Linked DNA regions of Sus scrofa. The protein of the gene in region 5 interacts with the protein of the main gene of each other region in a pairwise test. Links are inferred from orthologs where the notes say so. Each region holds a gene or a part of one and is shown on either strand. Other genes may lie near its edges.

Region 1 (3,500 bases), on a different chromosome or scaffold from region 5:
TTCATACGAATACTGATCTTAGATAGAAGAAAAGAGCCACAGAGATAGGCTTTCATAAAAAACATAAACTGATCAGAAGATCGGACAGACGCTAATGGATGGATGTGCAGAAGACCTGGGAGGAAAAATGAAAAGGATTTCCCAGAGGAGGTTTTGTTGTTGTTGTTTTGCCTTTTGCCTTTTGAGGGCCGCACCCGCGGCATATGGACATTCCCAGGCTAGGGGTCGAATCGGAGCTGGAGCTGCCGGCCTACACCACAGCTACGCGGGATCCGAGCCGTGTCTGCAACCTACACCACAGCTCAGGGCAACGCCAGAATCCTTAACCCACTGAGCGAGGCCAGGGATCGAACCCGCAGCCTCATGGTTCCTAGTCGGATTCCTTTCCACTGCGCCACGACGGGAACTCCAGAGGAGTTTTTATTCTCTGAAAAAGGCCAGTAAGCACAGAAGAAGCAAAAGAAGTTTTCGGGGACCCCCTCTGCCTCTTCTAGACCTTGACAATCCATACAGATGTATGGGTGTAACCGCCTGCTCTGCAAAGAAGCCTCTTTCTCAGGTAAAAATGTTTACCTGGTCTTAACATCTTCCCTCCAGGACCTTGGACGATCTTAACCTCCACGTGGGAACCACTGATCTAAACAACCACAGATTGGGGAGAAGAGAATGGAGAGGTTATACTTTTGAAATGCCATTTTTATTATCAGTGTATCTAAGGACGTCAAGAACTTTTTAATGATCTTTCCTCTCTGCACTATTATTCTCTGTGAGACGTGAGGGGAGAGGACAGCTTTCTTCTGGTTGAATGTTACCTCAAAGAAACAATATGTAACTTTTCTTAAACCATTGGCAAGAAATTGCACACACTTACTTACTTAGACTCTTTTTTAGGGCGCCACCAAAAGTTTGTCTGTTTCACGTGATAAAGTTATAGTGGTCTCTGGGTTGGTATATGAGAAGCTGTGCAGAAACGCCCTGCCCTGAAGCAATTCACAATCTTTATTGCTTTTAGATTTGGTAGCAGCTTTGTAGATAGACGGTGAGGGTTTGCCACTGGCCATAATACATTTTTTTAGAAATACAATCTGTAATGGGTAAGCTCATAGGATCTGGTTGGATTTTTTTTGGGGGGGGGGTCTTCTCTGTTTGTTTATGTACATACAAGTCAAGGTTTACTAGACAGTTTGGGATGGGAATCAGCAGCCCCAGAAATGTGGGGACTTCATCTGAAACGGTGATCATCCCTGAAAGCAGGAGGGTTGTTTGCTCTCTCCCTGAAGTCACTTCCCTGGATCTTGCCCCTTATTGTCATGAGCCACAAATTGGGGCAGGGGCGGGGGAGGGCAGGACTCTTGGCGTTGATGGTCTTATTCTGCACCCAGGCGCAGCATGGTGGTTCTGGTTCTAAACAGAATGGCGTGGCCCAGCGCATGTTGGTCACATGCACATCGATGTTTTGAGCCTCCATGGCTGTCATCACGACCTTCAGTCCCAAAGTCAGTGTCTCGGAAAGAGAAAACAGACATGCCCTTCCAAAAACAAGGGGAAAGGAAGAACTGCATTCTCTTGAAAGTTAAATTATAACTTTTTCTTTCTGTTTCTATGAAGAAGACTGTACTAATAAAACTGCCAATTTCTTTCAGGTGGGTGTACATGGCATTAGAATAGAATTCATCAATGAAAAAGGATCAAAACGCACCGCCACCTACCTACCGGAGGTTGCAAAGGAGCAAGGTCATTGTTGTACTTTATTTCATATGATCTGGTGAAGAATTGAAACAAATACACAAATTGAAATGCGCTATCTGACCTTGCAGTTTTATCTGATAATTGATCACTGTCAAATTAATGATAAGAAATGACTCTTCCCTCACTGCCACTGCAATGTCTGAATGAAATCGGTGACTTCACACAAAAGTTGCACCTCTGCACTAAAGTTTGACGGCAAAAACATACAAAAGTGTACTTTCAAAAAAAAAAGCAAAGATTTGTAAAAATTGAGTGTTGTTTTAGGCAGTGGTTTGCTATGAATTTGAGGTGCCATCTTCCCATATTCCACTGTACTCTAGCCTCGTGGCATAAATCAGCCTTTCGCTTGGCGGCCAGCCACGCAGTTCATTGTCAGTATCAAATGTTTCCTTCTTAGCTGGTTCCCATTACTTCCTGTGCTGCCGTTACGATCGTAGGTTTCCCATGAAGATTAGGAGCATTGAGAAAATATGAACCATTTTTAGTGTTTTACATGTTCCTAATCAAACTTTTTTTCCGTTTTACCGCCGTAGCACACACCTTTATGAGTTACCACTGCCACACAAAATAACATTTCACTCTGCACTGTCCTCTCCTTTCCACCCACTGCTAAATTCTGGTGTCAGGTTAGCTCAAAGCAATGTCTCTTCTTTATCTCATGGAGCGTTTCCTCTCATCAGAAAGCATTTGTACTTCGTTTTCCCATATCTGTTTCATGTAAATGTGAGATGTATAACTGCCAAATTTAATATCATTAAATCCCCCCCACACCCCCAAACGAGAGAGTCAGTCTTTCAAGCAGCTATCTGAAGATCTGGGTTGCTTTAGAAAATGTCTTAATTCTGTAGTTGCATTCCGTGACTCTGTAAAGCAGACCTGAGAGGTAGAGGGCCTCGGGTATGAGTATCCATCCTGTGTCAGAAACAATAAAAACGCCTTTGAATACTGCACACAGATGCCCTTGATCGACTACAGAAGATGCTGCTAAACATGGCAATGACCATGAGTTAGTGTGGGAGTCCTAACTACTACTGCGTTGGCTCAGTGAGGCTTTTCCCTCCCTTTTAAAGCTGTCCCTGGTGGAGGAGGGCACAGCGTTTGTGGTTTGTTATGTGAGACACGACAGAGCCGTTACTGCCAGCCTCTTGGGTTCCTTGCCTCCGAATGCGGTTGAGATAAAGAGGCCAAGGTTGCTAGCCATCGGGGGTATAGCTAGGATATAAGGCGTACTGGGCGGTACCTGCTTCTGTACCCGATGCAGCCTTAGCTCTTCTGTGTGACTGTTTTTAGGACCAAAGGGGTTGATGGCATTTGGTGACAGTGATCGCTGACCTCTACAAAGTCATTTTGTATTTGACCACAGGTGCTCGTTACATGTGCTTGACTGGTATTTTATCTGGTCTACTCTCCACAGGATGGGACCATATTCAGACCATAGACTCCTTACTGAGGAAAGGAGGATACAAAGCTCCGATTACTAATGAATTCAGGAAAACCATAAAACTGACCAGGTACAGAAGCATTTCCTAGTGCAAGGCTGCCTAGTACATTTTGATGTGTATACCTGTAACCTTTTGATTTCTTTGGTCTCTCTAACTGTGCTTGCTTCTCTTTTCTGAAACAGAGTGGAAATGAATGGCTGGGCCATACTGAGGGGCGGATAACAGTGGAACCTCTGCTTGGCAGCAAAGCCTGTATGATGTATGGGCCCACCCAGCCCATCTTCACTCTGTGTGATTCCTCTGGCTTTG
Region 2 (3,500 bases), on a different chromosome or scaffold from region 5:
GCATACTTCTGCTGTTGCCTCCAAAGAGGACTCGTGGACCCTATTTAAACCACCCCCAGTTTTTCCAGTGGACAATAGCAGTGCTAAAATAGTTCCTAAAATAAGTTATGCAAGCAAAGTTAAGGAAAACCTCAACAAAACTGTACAGAACTCTTCCGTGTCACCATCTTCATCTTCATCTTCATCTTCTTCGTCATCAGCTGGGGAAACTCAGACCCAACCTTCAAGTCGATTATCCCAGGTCCCTATGTCAGCGCTGAAATCTGTTACTTCGGCCAACTTTTCTAATGGGCCAGTTTTAGCAGGGACTGATGCAAGTGTATATTCTCCAGGGGGTCAGCCACTGCTAACTACTGCTGCTAATACTCTAGCACCCATCTCCTCTGGGGCTGATTCAGTTCTCCAAGACATGAGTCTGACTTCAGCAGCTGTTGAACAAATTAAGTCCAGCCTTTTTATCTACCCTTCAAATATGCAAACTGTGCTGTTGAGCACAGCACAAGTGGATCTACCCTCTCAGACAGATCAGCAAAACCTGGGGGATATCTTCCAGAATCAATGGGGTTTATCATTTATCAATGAGCCCAGTGCTGGCCCTGAGACTGTTATTGGGAAATCATCAGATCATAAAGTGATGGAGGTGACATTTCAAGGGGAATATCCTGCCACTTTGGTTTCACAGGGTGCTGAAATAATCCCCTCAGGAACTGAGCATCCTGTGTTTCCCAAGGCTTATGAGCTGGAAAAACGGACTAGTCCTCAAGTTCTGGGTAGCATTCTAAAATCTGGGACTACTAGTGAGAGTGGAGCCTTATCCTTGGAACCCAGTCATATAGGTGACCTGCAAAAAGCAGACACCAGTAGTCAAGGTGCTTTAGTGTTTCTCTCAAAGGACTATGAGATAGAAAATCAAAATCCTCTGGCGTCTCCTACGAACACTTTGTTAGGCTCCGCCAAAGAACAGAGATACCAGAGAGGCCTAGAAAGGAATGATAGCTGGGGTTCTTTTGACCTGAGGGCTGCTATTGTATATCACACTAAAGGTAACTCATCTGTTTCTATACGAAGATTCTTACTGATTATTTTAACATACATTTATTGGCTGTTCTATTAAGGGTGAATTTTTGAAGTTATGATGAGCTTAAGAATTCCATAGTTTAGTTGAGAATAACAATGTGGATTAGCAGCTGATACCAAACTCTAAGCTCCGGGTCTTTGTAAATACTATGGTAAAAGTATAAATTTTTTCTTGAAACAGATGTTCCCTCTCCTTTGCTTTTTATACTATATACTTCTTTATTAGAGAGCTCACTTTGATAGTTCTCATTTCCTTAAAACGAGCAAGAGCAGTATTTTAGAGGAGTCCAAAGAGATGGCGGGTCGATTTTTTTTCTCTTATTTAATCAAACTACAATGGCAAGTACAATTAGCATTGTAGGGACCAGGCTTTTGGAGTCTGCACTTTTTTTCATAGCCTCAAAGCCAGCATTAAAAAGGAATTGGATAGGAGTTCCTATCCTGGCACAGTGGAAATAATCTGACTAGGAACCATGAGGTTGCAGGTTCGATCCCTGGCCTTGCTCAGTGGGTTAAGGATTAGGCATTGCCATGAGCTGTGGTGTAGGTTGCAGACGTGGCTCAGATCTGGCATTGCTGTGGTGTAGGCCTGCAGCCATAGCTCTGATTAGACCCCTAGCCTGGGAACCTTCATACGCTGTGAGTGTGGTCCTAAAAAGCAAAAAAAAAAAAAAAAAGGAATTTGATGTCTTTAAAATTCCATGTTAATAGCTTTCTTAGGATACGATTTATTCAAGTCTTAAAAACTTGCTGTATGGCATAACTAGTTTAAATCCTTTAAAACAATGTTTTTTTGTGTCATGAATGTTGACATGATTTTACAAGCACCTCTTCACTTTCAAGAACAGTGGTTATCAGTTTTCCTTCTCAGTCTCCCCAACCTCCCCTAACAGCTCCATATGTGTGCATGCATGCACACCTAACATATAGTGCACGTATATATCGCTTTTTTAGCAACAGCTCAGGCAGTGATACGCAACTGCAGGGAAGAGGCAGCATGTTATCAGATAGTAGAGATGAGGTAATTATGTTTTCCCTGGAAGAATCACTGTCTCATAGATGAATAACAAAGCAATTCCTGTGATTTAAGCAAATTACCTGGTCTCCATACCTTTGTTTATCTGCAGACTAAGATGTTTAGTAAAATAGATAACCCTTTAAATTTTTTTGCTTTAAAAAATGGGAGTAAAGGAGTTCCCTGGTGGTGCAGCAGGTTAAGGATCTAGCATGGTCACTGCTGTGGCTCGGGTTTGTTTTTACTTTTCTCCAGCACTGCTCTTTGGAAGTAAATGTGAGTTAACCAGGAGCCAGATACTTTTAGGAGAGTTAGAGTAAAAAAATACTTAAGTTTCTTAAGACATTGCTTAATTAAAAGTTAAGTTCTGTCAGGGGAAGTTTATAGTGTTTTTGATGTTACTTTCTGTGCCATCTTCCCTCCAGAGATCATTATACTTTATTAAAGTATGTTATACTGGTGATGGTTGCCTGAGCCTGAGGATATCTGGTTGTCCCACAACCTGGAAAAATCCTGGGGCAAGTTGTTACTAGGTTCTTGGTTGGTGGTTTAATGTGTGATTATTATGGAGAAATGCAGGTCTTTTTAAATGGGACATTCCTATTTATCTTCAAGTATTCTGTATGCATTTGCCCTGTTGGTAAGCTAACTAAATATAAAATAAATCAGTGGTATTTAGTTAAACCAAATGCCCCTACCTAGATGCAGTTGTGTTTAGTTTTGCTGATGTTACTGAAAGATTTGCTTTAGTAAAGTCTTATCACGTTGAGTTGTGTAGTTGAACATTACTGGGATGAAATTGGTATTGTTTGTTTTTTCCTCCCTAGAACAAAAACAAATAATAGTTCAGTTAGGTCCCAGAGTGGCAGTTCTTTGAATTCCTGCTGAATGTAGATTGGTCCATTAGGTCACTAATTTTTCCTTTATTTAAATTTGCTTTGAGTCATAGTCTTTTGAGGATAGAAAGATCTTTTTCTTCAACGAAGGCTTGCCTCTTTTTTTTTTTAAGTTTTCTTAGGTGCTAAAAGGTAATAACCAATAGGAATTATTGGAATATCCTTTAAAAGAACACCTCGTATTTTTTTGTTGGTGGCTTAGTGTGGTCTTTAAATGTTTAAAGTAATTTCTTAGTAAGTTGAATGAAGTTAGGCTTAGAATGGAAAGTTCTGTGCATACTTGCTGACTTCGAAAATGAGCTGTTTAGCAACTTTATTTATGCATTATGTCAGTTTAATAGTAATGGTACATTTTTTAGATGAAACATTAATTACTTGCAGCCTTAAACATTACAGCAGATTTAAAAAAATTTGAATTCAGTTTACTTGATAAGAAATGAAGATACAGTGAGGCATTAAAAAAAAACTGATGGGAATTCTTGTTTTGGGGATTTTCTTTTACAACTTTTGAT
Region 3 (4,106 bases), on a different chromosome or scaffold from region 5:
AAGCTCTTCAGGAACCAATGGCTCTAATTCTGCACCTAGTGAAAACCCAAGTCCCACAGCAGGAACCACTGAACCTGGACACCAGCAGTTTATCCAGCAAATGCTGCAGGCTCTTGCTGGAGTGAATCCTCAGGTAATGATTTTTAATGTTAGAAATTTGGAAATTTCAAAAAAATAAATACATTAAAAAGAAAAAGTGGCTGTGCCTTTAGGTTTAGTCTATAGTAGAAAGCACATTCTTAAGGATATTGATTCTAAAAAACAGGCATTACGAAAGTTGTTAACTTTGGTACTGTATTAGACACTAAAGGAAATGTTGTAGTTGTAGGGAAGAAAGAAGTGATTTGCCTTAATTTTTGGAAGTTGCCTTTAAAAATGCATTCTTTTCTGGAGTCCCTGTTTGGAAATTATTTGAAATAGGTTATATTTTATAAATACAAGTTTGTCAGAAAAGAACAGAAACTTCATTGTCCCAGATACCTCTTGAACAATTATATTCTGTCTAGTCATTGTACTTTGAGTTTTAAAAAGTCCTAACTGCCTCACCCACCCACGAGTGCCTCCTGTGGTAACTTGTATCACTTTTATACACCTCACAAATGGCTGAAAAAGGTGAACTAATGATGTTCTTACATCTGGAAACATTTATTTACTAAGAATATGCCATTATACAGATGGTTGCTAGTTCATACTTACTACAGTAGCTTGTCCTTAAACTTCTGTGGGGCGAAACACAATAAACAGGTCAGAGTTTTATCTTATGTAAGTATTTGTATTCCCAATATAGAGCATAACTTGCTCAGTAAATATTCTTGGAATAAATTTAAAAAAACGATGTCATGTATTAGACAAAGTAGTTATCTAAGGTGAGCAATCTACAGACCTCACTATTATCAGGTTGCCCAAAATTGGTGATTTATGTATTTTTTTTTTTCTTAACATCATTTCTGAAAAAGATGCAATTGAACAGTCAGAGTATAATCTGTGCATCTGAAATAGGAACTCTTTTCTGAACACTTAACTAGCCAATAGAGAAATCTATATTCTGAGTCACATTAAAACTTAGAATTTTATACATCAAGACACTGGCTTTTGTAATTACCCAGTTGGTCACTAGCTACAAAAGAAATAATCTAATGCTAAACTACTTGCATACCTCTTTTTTTTTTTTTTTTTTTTTTTTTGGCCTCGCCTGTGGCATACAGAAGTTCGTGGGCCAGGGATTGAACTGGCTCCACAGCAGTGACAACACCAGATCCTTAACCTACTGCACCACAATTTTGCATGCCTTTAAACATACTTGTTAAAGTTTTCCTGAATGTTCTATGAGCTTCTTAAGTGAATCTAAAATAATGGTTGACGTTTATTAAGCTTTTTTTAAAAGCAGAGTTATGTGTTCTATTTGACATAATTGTTTAGGTATAGACTGTTTAAAGTGATAACTGGATTTTAAATACGTCGAAGGTTTCAAAAGAGAGGCCAGTGCTTTTATAGCTCAGTAGACTAGGATATGTTATTTTGAAAAGCAGTTTAAAAATTTAAAAGATTATTTTGGTGTGACATGGACCGATTTTCCTTAAGAGTTTTGGTTTGTTTTTTTCTTAACAGCTACAGAATCCAGAAGTCAGATTTCAACAGCAACTGGAACAGCTCAGTGCAATGGGATTTTTGAACCGTGAAGCAAATTTGCAAGCGCTAATAGCAACAGGAGGTGATATCAATGCGGCTATTGAAAGGTTACTGGGCTCACAGCCGTCATAGCAGCCTTTCTGTATCTTGAAAAAATGTAATTTATTTTTGATAACGGCTCTTAAATCTTTAAAATACCCGCTTTATTTCATTTTGACTCTTGGAATTCTGTGCTGTTATAAACAAACCCAATATGATGCATTTTAAGGTGGAGTGCAGTAAGATGTGTGGGTTTCTCTGTGTTTTTTTTGTTTGTTTGTTTTTTTCTGTTTTCCTGGAACAGTGGGAATCAATGCTTTTTCATTTAAGGCTACTGCATGCATCAAACACTTCTGCATTGTAATTTTTAAAAAATATATCACCTTTTATAGTTGGGTGAACAGAATTTTTGTCCAGCATCTGTCCAGTTTATTTGCTTTTTAAACATTAGCCTATGGTAGTAATTTATGTAGAATAAAAGCATTAAAAAGAAGCAAATCATTTGCGCTCTATAATTTGTGGTACAATATCGCTTATTGTGACTTTGGCATGTATTTTTGCAAACAAAAATGCTGTAAGATTTATACCACTGACAGTTTTTGCTTTATTTGTATACAGTATATGTATGCACATTTGGAACTGCATTTCTAGAAACATACTGCAGTAGATTATCTGAGCAGAACATCTGCAACTGAAAAAGTATAGATAAGGAAATAACTTTAAAGCTGAGTATTTCCTAATTGTGTAAGATCTTACAGCATCTTTGATAAACATCTTTCAGCAAAAGTACACATTAGGTTTGTTGAAAATATAGTAGAAAAGCTGATTCTGGTTATCTCTTTAAGGACGTTTAATTGTATAGACATCATAATGTAACATTGTCGCAACATTCACAGATTGTAAATTATCTTAATCTTTGTGCAGACTGAAGGAGCACTTAGTATAACCCAAAAGTGCATTCGCCTAGGACTTTTCAGCTTTTCCCATAGGTAGTTTAACAGGCATTACAATTTGTAATTGAAATGTTGCTTTCACTGAAAGTGTCTTGATGTTTCATTTATTTTTAATCGCCATATAAAAATAGAACTATCTTTTGGGTTTATCATTTTTCTCATGCACAGGCAATACATGAATTTAAAATGATTTGTGAGCCACTTGTTTCTGAAGTGTTTTGGTAGTTCTATTAAGAAATAGTTAAATATTGTGCTTTTCAGAGCCTGAGAGAAGGGGAATTTGGGGGGTGGGGAGGGGATCTATCCTGGATTGGGCCAGCCTAAATAATACTGGCAACCAAGATTCTGTTAGGATTTCTGTGCATATAGTGTAGTAAAGAAGTATCATTCAAGGGTGAAAACAGAGCCGTTTTAACAATGTTGAGTACATTTGGCTGTTCTACAGCTTTTTCCTTCCTTCCCCAAAGAAGTCGTTTGCCTAACTCTCAAACTGTTGGGGTGGTACATTCCTTTAGGACCAATTAAAACATAACTTTTGGGTCAGTAATATATTTGGCTGACTCTGATGCAGTATTCTCTTAGGTCATTATATTCTCTCATGTACAGTTACAGGAAATTAAAATGTTAAAGTAACCTAAAATGAATTCAGACCAGTAAAATCAAGGGAAATAAAGTTGAATTCCATTACTTCTGTAAGTTGCTTGCTATTAAAAAAAAGTAAAGAGGCCAGGTTGCCCACCGTTTTGTGCACTGTTGTGACACTTTCCCCAGGAAGAAAACCATGTACAAAGGTCGAGGTGGAGGCATGACGAAGAGGAAGTTGTTAAGGATGGTATTCATGTGTCTCTGTGCTCTCTTGCCTTATGCCTCAGTACGGTTGAAAAACTTGTGTACTGGCCAATGGTGGTATACAGTATGGGATAGTGTCATAACCAATTTGACAATTTATTAATCACAAAATAACAATAAATCTCTAGCTTTTACACTTGTTTGTCTTGCTTTTTTTGTAGAAAGAAAAAGATGTCTTGCTCAAACTGTCTTTTAAAGACTATTGAAGTTGATTTACCTTAGACTTTATCACACTTGAGATTATTTTTTGTTAATTTTTTTTTGTTTGCAATTGAAATATGTGCATGTATACCATATAGTGTGTTAAAAAGAGCCAACAGAGAAGTTAGGTGGCCTGGGCTTTGTTCACTCCTTTTGGTATGTGATTAGTTAATTCGCCTTTTGAATCAGGGCATTAGGATTTCTTCACTGTGGAAAGTGGTGGTGAGGCCTGTATACAACACTCACTAAAGGGTCTCCTGAGTACCTTTTAATTGTTGTACTGGTGTGATTTTGTTTTTTTGTTTTTGTTTGTAGTATGTTCATCTTAGATCTGAATTATCTTTTTAAGGAGTTCAAACTCTGTACAATTCTTAAAAGCACAAAAAAGAATCTTGAAATACTGTAAATTGTTCTCATGTTAGTTTATTACAAAAT
Region 4 (3,500 bases), on a different chromosome or scaffold from region 5:
CTCTCCCTGGTGGATGAATTACAGGGCTCCTTGCTGCTTCGGGCAGGGACTTTCAAAGGCCCTGCTGCTCAATCACCTTGACAGCCCTCCTGTGGCTCCCTCTGCCTCGGTCAAGCTCTGAGGAGGAGGCAGACCCATCTGGAGTTTGCAGGTCCAGCCAGGCCTTTGGATGGAGAACTGTGATCTTGTGACAAAAGGAGTTGAGCCGCTTTCCAGGCTTCGCAGGGTTCTTTTGAGAGGCGTCACAGAGGTGATGCTGGCCCAGAGGTGTGTTCTAGGAACGTGGCTTTGACACATGAAAGGCATTCGCCGCCTGCCCCAGACGACTTTTCTGTACCTGCCAGAAGACCCATCCATAGGATGACCATCACCCTGTCCTCTCTGTTTTCACCTGTGACCATCACCACACGGGGGCGCTTTCACGATTTACAACGCCCCTTAAAACGTTTTTAGCATCAGAGGAGAATAAATGTTTCTTTCATCCTGATTCAGCCAGATGCCATTCAGGGGAAAAAAAAAAAAAAATCTCCTTGACTCCTTTTCACAAGGTATCGCTTTATCTGGCCAAAATATCATAGAAGATAGCCGGGCGATGCGTCTCCTCCTCCTGAGCGTGGTGGCGTCACTGACTTCATTCTTAGAAACCACGTTGGACGTGCTTCACGCACGCAACCGACGGCTCTCTGTGCTTTGCATGTCAACACCTTACCCCCTCGTCCCTTCTCTCTCCCCCTCACCCCCTCCCTCCCTTTCCCAGCAGGTCTCACCAGCGACACAACAGATGCAGCCCACCCAGACGATACAGCCGCCCCAGCCCACAGGGGGGCGCCGGCGAAGGGTGGTGGATGAGGATCCCGACGAAAGGCGGAGGAAATTTCTGGAACGGAACCGGGCCGCCGCCACCCGCTGCAGACAGAAGAGGAAGGTCTGGGTGATGTCACTGGAAAAGAAAGCAGAAGAACTCACCCAGACAAACATGCAGCTTCAGGTGCAGGCCACTGTCTCTCGCCCCACACTCAAAGGCCCTGTGTACAGTTGGCATGTCCTGCCCCGCAGGCGCTTGTTGACCTAAGTAAGGCCACCCGTTAGCCCACAGAGCAACTGCAGGCTTACTCCCCAAGCTTGATGAATTCTGAGACACTCTGCCAAACAAGACAACTGTTCAGTTTTAAAGCAATCTCTTCTGGGGCGGGAGACTCTGCCCAACTAAGTTGTAAGACTGGCAGCAGAAGCTTTGGTCAGAGGTTCAAACTCTTGTTCAGCACCTATGTGCTGTGTTTAACCTCGTTGGCTCTCAGTGTCCCCATGTGTAAAATAGGAATAATAGCCTCATAAAGTTATTGGGAGGAATAAATGAACTAACGTCTCCAAAGTCGTTGGCACAGTGCCTGGCACATCATAAATCCTCAACTGAAAGGCGATCCTTTATGTTCGCTGGATGAGGAGTTGCTTCAGTTTATACCAGATTATCTGTATTTTTGTTTAAGGGGGAGAGGGGAGTTTGTGTTTATTATTTTGTTCCATAAGAAAAGGCCTGTTTCCATCTCATTTCAAACTTGACAATATTCGACTTTTGCATGAGTTTTGCATTTCATGGGTGGCCCAATGGGGGGCATTTTATAACAAGGCCGTTTCTAGGAGTGTTTGAGAAACTCGAGGACCTCGGGCTTCTCCAAGCGGACTTCATGCCTCACAGATGATGCAGTTTAGGGCATTTGTTCTGATATGGAAAGGAGTGCATGGTTCACCAGCAAATGAAAAAGCAAGTATTAGATTATGCGAAGCAGTGTAGGGATAGCAGTAAAAAATGTGGATTATAACCCAGTACTTCCAGGAGCAGAGAGAGTGGCTAAAGAGTAGAGGGAAGAGGGCACAGAGTGCCCCAAACAGGGAGAATCTGCTCCTCAGTAGTTCATAGGTCACCTTCGCCCCTACCCCCTGTTGTCTGTGCATCCTTAGAAAGGAGCAGTGAGGGTGCCAAACCCACAACCCTTTGAATATTTCATTCTGTGACATTGGAATGGCCTTGGGGTGTTCAGTATACAAATGGAAAGTATACGAAGAACGTGTGGGCTATACATGGACCAACTGTCATAATTTATGAAGGTTGACTCCCCCCCCCACATTTATCATCTTTATATGACAGACATAAGAAAGAGCTGGGAAACCTCTATCGCAGACATGGGGGAAATAAGATCATTCCTTCCACTGGTGTGCATGCTTCATGAAGGTGGGGGCTATGTTTTGTTACCCTCTCCCCTGACCTCCTACCCTCCTTTTCTAGTGTCAGGTCTAGCATGGAAAGTTCCTGAGAGCCTGTATTCAATATCTATTTGTTGAATAAGTGAATGAGTTCTTGGACCCTCTGGAGGGTCCAAGAACTGGCTGCCTGACCACTTGGGCGAGGATGTGATTGAGGGAATCAAGCCGCAGGGGGATGGCGGGACTCAAACACCTCCGAAGCCTCTCTGACTTAAAAGTCTATAATTCTAGAATCTGGCAGGCATAGTAGTATGTGGGAAACTTTTAAGTAGACCACGAGTACACACTTTTAATATTAATAATCATATTTCAATGTTCATGTGTATCGCAAAGTGTAATTAGAACATCAGACCTTCAATTTCACAGGTATTTTTGGTAATGACCAGACTAAGTCATTAAAAAAATGAGTTAAGTTGTATAAACACGTTAAGTAAATAAAAGTCCTGGTGTATGTGACCCAGCAAATAATAACTGCAGTGGTTTTGTAATGACTGAAGTATGAGAACCTCTGGAACTTGCAGCCAGTTCCAAGGTCCACAAGAGGACCATGGACGGGTGTTGGTTTTCTTAATCTTGGCGCTACTATTTTGGGGCTCTAGAATTCTCTGTTGTCTCCTGCACATTGTAGATACTTAGCAGTATTCTTGACCTCTAGCCACTAGATATCAGTAGCACCTTCTACCCGAATCTCAAGTTGTGAGAACCAAAACGTCTCCTGACATTGCCAAATGTCCCCTCTAGGGGGCAGAATTACCCTCAATTGAGAATCACTGGCCTAGATGAAGGAGCCATGGGCAGCCAGCTGACATGGAGTCAGAGGCCGATACATTTTTAAATCAGTTTTAACTAAAATGAATCCCTGCAGAATGACTCTAGGGTATTGACTATCATTCTGGAGCATGAAGACAGGGAGGGGGTCATGGCAGAGAGCCAGGAAAAGTAAGGACGCTGGTTTACTTTGAGGTCAGAAGGTTCATGACTTGACATATGCATATGTTCTAGCTTTTACTTAACATGTCAGGTAAACATATGAGAACCTAACATATTGATTTTCACATCTAGAGCCAAATCAGCTAAGTTTAAGAGATGCTAGAATTATAGCTCCTGAATATCAGGGGGAAAAATAAGTTCTCTTTGGGCCGTTCAGCAGGCACCAATGTTTTGGTTGTTCAAGCCATGCCTGGGGAAGGGATGGTCTTCAAAAAGACTAAGTTGTTGGTGTCTTCCAACCACTGCTT
Region 5 (4,290 bases):
TGCGGTGTTTGCTGCAGCTACTGCAATGTGGGTACCCACTGTGCCAGGCCAGGATTCAACCTGCGTTCCAGAGATGGCACTGATTCTGTTGTGCCACAGTAGGAACGCCTATATTTCGGTCCTTTTTTTTTTTTTTTTTTTTTTTTTGTCTTTTTGTCTTTTTCCGGCTGCATCCATGGCACATGGAGGTTCCCAGGCTAGGGGTCCAATCAGAGCTGTAGCTGCTGGTCTATGCCAGAACCACAGCAACACCAGATCTGAGCCACGTCTTTGACCTACACCACAGCTCACGTAATGCCAGATCCTTAACCCACTGAGCAAGGCCAGGGATCAAACCCAGGACCTCATGGATGCTAGTTGGGTTTGTTAACTGCTGAGCCATGAGGGGAACTCCTGTATTTTGGTTCTTATGACTAGTGTTGCTATGACCATCGTGCACAGGCTTTTGGTGTGGACATACGTTTTCAATGCCCCGGGCGTATACCTAGGCGGGACATCACTGGGGCATGTGTTCACATTTTGAGAACCTGCCAGACTGTTTTCCCCAGGAGTCCTCCCACTTTACATTCCCACCCACAGTGTATGACCGTTTCAAGGTTTCAATTTCTCCTTAACATCCCCGACACTTGTTATTGTCTGTCTTTTTGGTTTTAAGGAGTTATTATTTTTAGCCTCCTCCCCCGCCCTCACCCCAGGGATGCGGGGAGAGGGGGCTGCTTAGAGGATGTGGGGGAAGGGGAGGTAGGAGCTCTCCATTTCACCCTGAACCCGAAAGGGTCACCTCAGGACCCCCTGGAATGTCCTCTCCTTCACACACCCCCCTCGGGCGGGGCTGCTATAGGGGGCGATTATGAGGACCACTTGGGGTGGGAAAGGGCTTAACAGTTCCTGCTGGCCATCTGCCTCCAGGCAGGGGTTCCCTGGACACGCAGCCCTTTCCCGTCTGGCCCCGCCCTGAGACGTGGGCAGGGCGAGACCACGCCCCTTCCTGGGAGCCAGCTCCGCCCAATCTCCTCCCCTTAAGGCGCTCCGTCTCCCTGGGAAAAGAGGCAGACAGCCCGGGGCAGGGAGGTGGGGTGTGTGCGGGGGAGACATTGGTAGGAAGATGGCCAGGAAGGTGATGGCCCCGGACCCTGGAGCCCTGCACGCCCGAGTTCAGCCCTGCTCGACTTCTCAGGGGCTTCCATTCATTCTGAGCCAAAAGTGAACTGCCGCCCCCGCCCCAAACTGATGTAGCCTCAGGGACTGAGGGCCCGGGGGAGGCCGTCCTGGAGTGAAGGGACCGCCTGGCTGAAGACAGTCCCGGGGATGGAAGGGAGAAGGGACAGAACTGGACGGTTCTGGACCTGGGAGCGTCTCTCTTCTCAGGGCGAGGGTCTGGGGACCCTGGATGAAGTTGCGGTTGTGGTATTTCCAGAATAACTGTCCGGGTGCACAGAATAACACTCTGGTGGCGCAGAGTGAGGAGGATCTGCAAGTTCCAGGGTTAGGTGGAGTCTAAGGGCCCAGGATGACATTCTGGGAGGCGCAGAGTCTGGGTCCCTGGCATTAAGATGTGGGTGCACAGGAATTCCAGGGGTGCAGATTAGGTAAGGTCTAGGTGCGCAGGATGACATTTTTGGGTGCACAAACTGAGAGCCTGGGGGCTCCAGAGTGAGTTGGGGGCTTGACATCAGGGTCAATGCCCCAGGATCCTGTGCTAAGGGACCCTGGCCTGGCGCCGGGAGGCGGCTCCGGGCGGCGCCGCGGGGGACCGGGTGGGGCCTGTGGCCGGCCGGGGGCGGAGAAGCGGGGGTCGGGGTCCCTCCCCCTGGCGCGGGCTCAGGAATCCGCCGAGGGGCGGGCGGAGGCGCCGGGGTGGGCCGCGCCGCGGCAGGCGGGCGGGGGGCGCTTCCTGGGGCCGCGCGTCCAGGGAGCTGCGCTGTCCGCCTGTCCGTCTCCCGCAGGCACTACCGGAGCCAGCCGAGCCGCCGGAGCCGCGGGCCTCCGGGCCGTCACGGGCCCAAGTGAGTGGCCGTCCATGGGGGGAGGGCGCCAGCCAGAGTCTCGGCCGAGTCGGCGGCGTCAGCACCGAGCCAGAGGCCTGCGCTCCTCGGCCCGAGCCACTGGGGGACCGGGCGGGGGCGGGGCGACCCGGGGCGGGTGGGCCCTGAACCCCGGCCTGCGTGATCAGTCGACCCCCGGCCCTGGGAGGCTCCGAAGCCCCAGACACAGTCCCGGGCGGGTGGTGTCGGGGACCAGGTCTCTGAGTCCTGGTTCGGGCAATGGGGGATCCGTGGCCCAGACGCCCTGACCCCCACTCACTACCTCCCAGCCCCAGGATGCTCCCCTTCGCCTCCTGCCTCCCCGGGTCTCTACTGCTCTGGACGCTGCTGCTGTTGCTCTTGGGGGCAGCGTCTCCCCAGGATTCGGAGGAGCCCGACAGCTACACGGTGGGGACAGTGGAGCCCCTGGCCTGGGCTGGGCTGGGCAGGGACACCAAGACCAGGATCCTGGGGTGGCTGCTGCTGGGGCAGGTTCTCCCCTCCCCTGGTCCGTGGAGCAGCTGGAGCTGTTGTTTGGAGCAGGCGGGGAGGGTGGCCAAGCTTGGGCTCTGGTCTTGGCCTGGTCAGTTAGAGGAGAGGGGGTGACCACTGGCCACCTCTGGTCCCCCTGTAGGAATGCACAGATGGCTATGAGTGGGACCCCGACAGCCAGCACTGCCGGGGTGAGTATGCTTGGAGCACCAGGAAGTGGATTGCAACTCCAGCACGGAGAGCTGCTGTGGGAGTCAGTGGCCTGTCCCCTGCCCAGCTCTGCCTGGCCGTGGCCAGCTCTGGTTCTCAGGGGGCCAGCTTAGCTGGGGGTGGAGAAGCCATCCAGGCCCCTCCCTCTCAGAAAAACATGGGACAGCCTCCTCCCACCCCCCAGGAGTCCAGAGACCAACAGGGCGCTGCCCAGAGGCATGGTTCCTGGCCACCTCCTCTAATCACTTTCCCACCCAGCTTCGTGCCATCGTGACCTGGGAGGGCAGCGTCTGCGGGGGTGGGCGAGAAGGCCTGCACCTCACTCTTGGGCTGAGTTGGGACCAGGGCTCTGGGGCGGCATAGAGACCCTCTTGGGGATAAGAGAATGGAAGTGAGTGGAGCAAGAGCCAGCCTGCCACCAGCCCTGGTGGCACTGGGAAGTGGTCCTGGGCAGGCAGCCTTAGCTGAGGAGAGTGGGAAGGCCCTTCCTGGGTCACGCAGCTTAGAGGAGGCTGCACTGGGCTCCTGCCGCCCACCCCCTCCGTGGCCAGCCCAGGAGACTGGCTGTGCCCAGCAGGCCCCTCTCCGCAGATGTCAATGAATGCCTGACCATCCCCGAGGCCTGCAAGGGGGAAATGAAATGTATCAACCACTACGGGGGCTACTTGTGCCTGCCCCGCTCGGCGGCTGTCATCAATGACCTGCATGGCGAGGGACCACCACCACCAGTGTCCCCTGCTGAACACGCCACCCCCTGCCTACCAGGCTATGAACCGGATGAGCAAGAGAACTGCGTGGGTGAGTGAGGGTCGGTTGCCCTGGTGCTGAGGCTTCCAATCCTTCTATCAAGTGTCTATCACTGCATTTTAAAAACTCACAGCTCATGTTCCTCCCTGGCTCAAAAGCTTCCTCGGGGGAGTTCCCGTCGTGGCGCAGTGGTTAACGAATCCGACTAGGAACCATGAGGTTGCGGGTTCGGTCCCTGCCCTTGCTCAGTGGGTTAAAGATCCGGCGTTGCCGTGAGCTGTGGTGTAGGTTGCAGACGCAGCTCGGATCCCGCGTTGCTGTGGCTCTGGCGTCGTAGGCCGGTGGCTACAGCCCCAATTCAACCCCTAGCCTGGGAACCTCCATATGCCGCGGAAGTGGCCCAAGAAATAGCAACAACAACAAAAAAGACAAAATAAATAAATAAATAAATAAAATAAATAAATAAAAAAATAAAAAGCTTCCTCGGGGCCGCTGGCATAATAATATCCAGCCCCTTGTCCAGATCCTCACTGTGGGGGGCCTGCCCAGCTCCCGTCCCATGCCCAGCCAGCTTCCGGGATCCTCCTTTTGATCACTGCAGGTGCACCGCGGGAGCGCTCGCTGTCAGCCTCTTCCCCTTTCCTGGTTTGCACCCCACTCCTGGGTGCTATAGGCCTCAGAAGAAGGTTCTGGAATCAATCAGTGTTCCTGGGAGCATGGACAGGGCCTTATTTCCTCTGCTTCCCTGACATGGGGTCTCCCAGGGTAGGGGTGCCGATATCCCAGGGACTCCAGACCAGCAGATTCTTATTTGTGC
Region 6 (3,455 bases), on a different chromosome or scaffold from region 5:
TTGACCAAGAGCAAGCTGGGAACTCCCTGCCATGTTCAACAGATCTTTCCCACAGCTCAGGATGGGCACGTGCTGGCACGTATGCTTCCTTTAGAGCGGAGCGACTGAGAAGCAGAGCAGAGACTCTGCTTCCTACTGGGATCTTACAGCCTGGGGACCCTGACCTCATCTGACCACCTAACAGAATTTTCCCAACACAGAAACAGTTTAGAGAAACAAAGAGCCTCGTTCAGATGACAGTAGTCAAGCCACAGTTAGCACAGTGAGGGGACCACCCGGCACGCTGTCACTCGATCCTCTCAGTGAAGCGCATTAGAACTCACATCATTAAAAAGCCCAAGGGAGAGTTCTGTTGTGGCTCAGTGGTAACAATCTGACTTGTATCTATGAGGATGCAGGCTCGATCCCTGGCCTCGCTCAGTGGGTTAAGGATCTGGCGTTGCCATGAGTGACTCGGATCTTGCGTTGCTGTGGCTGTGGTGTAGGCCAGCAGCTGTAGCTCCAATTTGACCCCTAGCCTGGGAACTTACATATGTTGCATGTGCAGCCCTTAAAAAAAAAATAAAGAAAAAATAAAAAGACATAAGATTTTTTAAAATCTCACATATTTTTTCAGAAAGGGAACTGGAGCAGGGGTTGGTCCCTTTTAACTGGAGTTAAACGACCAGAATTTTTAGGAGGGAGCTTTAAAAATGTTGAGACTTCTTAGAGCAGGAATTATGCATTCTGCAGGAGATGGGGCCTGAGACTTTCTCTGTGAAAAAAGGATGTCTTTGCTGAGACGCTTTTGGGAATCACTGCATTATTATTTAAAATTTTTTTTTTTTGGTCTTTTGTCCTTTTAGGGCCACACCTGTGGCATATGGAGGTTCCCAGGCTAGGGGTCCAACTGGAGCTGTAGCAGCTAGCCTATGCCACAGCTACAGCAACACCAGATCCGAGCCGTGTCTGTAAACTACACCACAACTCACGACAACGCTGGATCCTTAACCCACTGAGCAAGGCCAGGGATCGAACCCACAACCTCATGGTTCCTAGTTGGATTTGTTTCCACTGCGCCACGACAGGAACTCATAAAATTTTTAAATTACAGTTGATTTACAGTTTTGTGCCAGTTTCTGCTATACAGCAAAGTGATATATATATATATATATATATATACACACACACACACATTCTTTTTTTTATTCTTTTCCATCTTGGCCCGGGGGATCACTGTTACTGCCTGTTCTTAGAGAGCTATCATGCAAATTCGCACTGTAGCATTTCTAATATATTTTTTAAACTGTAGACACTATCAGACTTGTATTTTATCCAATGTTCTTAAGTTTCTTAGACTTTAGAGTCTTTTCTTATATAATCCCTATTACATGGCACAGAATCAGTGCTCGGAGAAAATTCCTCTGGAAATGCTGATACAGAGCAGGTATGGCAAAAGATTTTAACTGAGGAGTTCCCACTCTGGCACTGTGGGCTAAGAATCTGACTGCAGTGGCTCAGGTTGCTGCAGAGGTGAGGGTTTGATCCCTGGCCCAGTGCTGTGGGCTAAAAGATCTCATGTGGTGTTGCCACAGCTGTGGCTCAGATTCAGTTCCTGGCCCGAGAACTTCCATATGCTGCGGGTGTGGCCATAAAAAAAAAAAAAAGATTTTTACCAAATGTTAACTAAGATTGTAGTGATGTAGTCTAGGACCTTATGTTGGGAAGGATTCTGAGGGTCAACTGGGCCATTTTTGCTAATGATCTCTGCTTTGGGTGGAGAAGGAGGGGATGCTGGTCAGCAGCCCTGATCTAGCGCACATTTAGTTTTATTTTCTCTGGCTTAAGAATGTCCTGGGAGGCGCTAGTTCCACCCATGTTGCTGCAAATGGCATTATTTTCTTTTTTTTATGGCTGAGTAGTAGAGACTCTCATACTAAGTGAAATAAGTCAGAAAGACAAAGACAAATACCATAGGATTTCACTTCTATCTGGAATCTAATATACGGCACAAATGAACCTTTCCACGGAAAAGAAAATCATGGACTTGGAGAACAGACTTGTGGTTGCCAAGGGGGAGGGAGTGGGGATGGACTGGGAATCTGGGGTTAATAGATGCAAATTATTGCCTTTGGAGTGGATAAGCAATGAGATCCCGCTGTATAGCACAGGGAATATATCTAGTTACTTATGACGGAATATGGGAGGGTAATGGGAGAAAAAAGAATGCATACATGTATGTGTGACTGGGTCACCTTGCTGTACAGTTGAAAACCGACAGAACAGGGGCGTTCCCGTGGTGGCGCAGTGGTTAACGAATCCGACTAGGAACCATGAGGTTGCGGGTTCGGTCCCTGCCCTTGCTCAGTGGGTTAAGGATCTGGCGTTGCCGTGAGCTGTGGTGTAGGTTGCAGACGTGGCTCGGATCCCGCATTGCTATGGCTCTGGCGTAGGCTGGTGGCTACAGCTCCGATTCGACCCCTAGCCTGGGAACCTCCATATGCAGTGGGAGCGGCCCAAGAAATGGCAAAAAGACAAAAAAATATATATATATAAAATAAATTAAAAAAAAAAGAAAACTGACAGAACACTGTAAACCAGCTATAATGGAAAAAATAAAAATCATTTAAAATTTAAAAAAAGCCAAGGCTCTGTGTGTGTGTGTGTGTGTGTGTGTGTGTGTGTGTGTAAATAAAATCTCCTGGGAGATATATATAGATATGTAGATATAGATATAGATATCTAGTATATATATAGTACCTTCTGGGTTTGACTGACTGGTTTGAATCTTGCTCCAGCAAGAATCTGGATCCAGCATGGTGAGTCCTGGGTCCTGACGTCTTTGCTTTGCTCAGGTTCACAGGGTGTTCCCTAATGGGTTGGCCTCCCAGGAAGGGACTATTCAGAAGGGCAATGAAGTGCTTTCCATCAACGGCAAGTCTCTCAAAGGGGCCACACACAACGATGCCCTGGCCATCCTGCGTCAAGCTCGGGACCCCAGACAAGCCGTGATTGTCACAAGGAAGCCAACCCTGGAGGCCTCGCCTGACCTCAACTCCTCCACAGATTCTGCAGCTTCCGTCTCTGTGGCCAGTGACATCTCCATAGACTCCAGTGAGTTCTCTGTGCCTGATGGGAGCCCCGTGGACCCTCTCATCTTCAGATACGTGAGGGAAGCTGCTGGGTGACATGAGGGCTGCCTTGCATGCTGCTCAGATGTGTCTGGGTTCATCTGTGCACGGGCCCAAGTTCACTGGCCGCATCAGCCAGGCTTGCGTGATGTGCCCTGTCTGTAGGCTGGAGAAGAGGGCGTCCCTAACAAAACCCCTGTGTTTTTCTCAGCAGCAGAGGCCACAGTCTGCACGGTGACCCTGGAGAAGACCTCTGCGGGGCTGGGCTTCAGCCTGGAAGGAGGGAAGGGCTCCCTGCACGGAGACAAGCCTCTGACGGTTAACAGGATCTTCAGAGGTAGGCTG

The links.
Region 1: the proteins of EFEMP2 (region 5) and AMMECR1 interact in binary tests that used the Homo sapiens proteins (3 or more experiments, as listed by UniProt). The two-hybrid records come from large-scale screens. The link is inferred for Sus scrofa from reciprocal best matches to the Homo sapiens genes EFEMP2 and AMMECR1.
Region 2: the proteins of EFEMP2 (region 5) and NUFIP2 interact in binary tests that used the Homo sapiens proteins (3 or more experiments, as listed by UniProt). The two-hybrid records come from large-scale screens. The link is inferred for Sus scrofa from reciprocal best matches to the Homo sapiens genes EFEMP2 and NUFIP2.
Region 3: the proteins of EFEMP2 (region 5) and UBQLN1 interact in binary tests that used the Homo sapiens proteins (3 or more experiments, as listed by UniProt). The link is inferred for Sus scrofa from reciprocal best matches to the Homo sapiens genes EFEMP2 and UBQLN1.
Region 4: the proteins of EFEMP2 (region 5) and CREB5 interact in binary tests that used the Homo sapiens proteins (3 or more experiments, as listed by UniProt). The two-hybrid records come from large-scale screens. The link is inferred for Sus scrofa from reciprocal best matches to the Homo sapiens genes EFEMP2 and CREB5.
Region 6: the proteins of EFEMP2 (region 5) and IL16 interact in binary tests that used the Homo sapiens proteins (3 or more experiments, as listed by UniProt). The two-hybrid records come from large-scale screens. The link is inferred for Sus scrofa from reciprocal best matches to the Homo sapiens genes EFEMP2 and IL16.

The regions. Positions count from the first base shown.
Region 1 is NC_010461.5:90,312,208-90,315,707, reverse strand, and holds part of AMMECR1 (AMME syndrome candidate gene 1 protein), read left to right. Parts: intron 1-1,643; coding exon 1,644-1,734; intron 1,735-3,163; coding exon 3,164-3,260; intron 3,261-3,500.
Region 2 is NC_010454.4:45,496,588-45,500,087, reverse strand, and holds part of NUFIP2 (nuclear fragile X mental retardation-interacting protein 2), read left to right. Parts: coding exon 1-1,043; intron 1,044-3,500. UniProt on the Homo sapiens protein: Binds RNA.
Region 3 is NC_010452.4:31,313,916-31,318,021, forward strand, and holds the end of UBQLN1 (ubiquilin-1), read left to right. Parts: coding exon 1-133; intron 134-1,608; coding exon 1,609-1,761; 3' UTR 1,762-3,606; downstream 3,607-4,106. UniProt on the Homo sapiens protein: Plays an important role in the regulation of different protein degradation mechanisms and pathways including ubiquitin-proteasome system (UPS), autophagy and endoplasmic reticulum-associated protein degradation (ERAD) pathway.
Region 4 is NC_010460.4:43,851,977-43,855,476, reverse strand, and holds part of CREB5 (cyclic AMP-responsive element-binding protein 5), read left to right. Parts: intron 1-757; coding exon 758-988; intron 989-3,500. UniProt on the Homo sapiens protein: Binds to the cAMP response element and activates transcription.
Region 5 is NC_010444.4:6,453,665-6,457,954, forward strand, and holds the start of EFEMP2 (EGF-containing fibulin-like extracellular matrix protein 2), read left to right. Parts: upstream 1-1,490; 5' UTR 1,491-1,589; intron 1,590-1,946; 5' UTR 1,947-2,006; intron 2,007-2,314; 5' UTR 2,315-2,321; coding exon 2,322-2,432; intron 2,433-2,658; coding exon 2,659-2,707; intron 2,708-3,317; coding exon 3,318-3,524; intron 3,525-4,290. UniProt on the Homo sapiens protein: Plays a crucial role in elastic fiber formation in tissue, and in the formation of ultrastructural connections between elastic laminae and smooth muscle cells in the aorta, therefore participates in terminal differentiation and maturation of smooth muscle cell (SMC) and in the mechanical properties and wall integrity maintenance of the aorta.
Region 6 is NC_010449.5:50,095,937-50,099,391, forward strand, and holds part of IL16 (pro-interleukin-16), read left to right. Parts: intron 1-2,834; coding exon 2,835-3,093; intron 3,094-3,321; coding exon 3,322-3,447; intron 3,448-3,455. UniProt on the Homo sapiens protein: Interleukin-16 stimulates a migratory response in CD4+ lymphocytes, monocytes, and eosinophils. Primes CD4+ T-cells for IL-2 and IL-15 responsiveness. Also induces T-lymphocyte expression of interleukin 2 receptor. Ligand for CD4.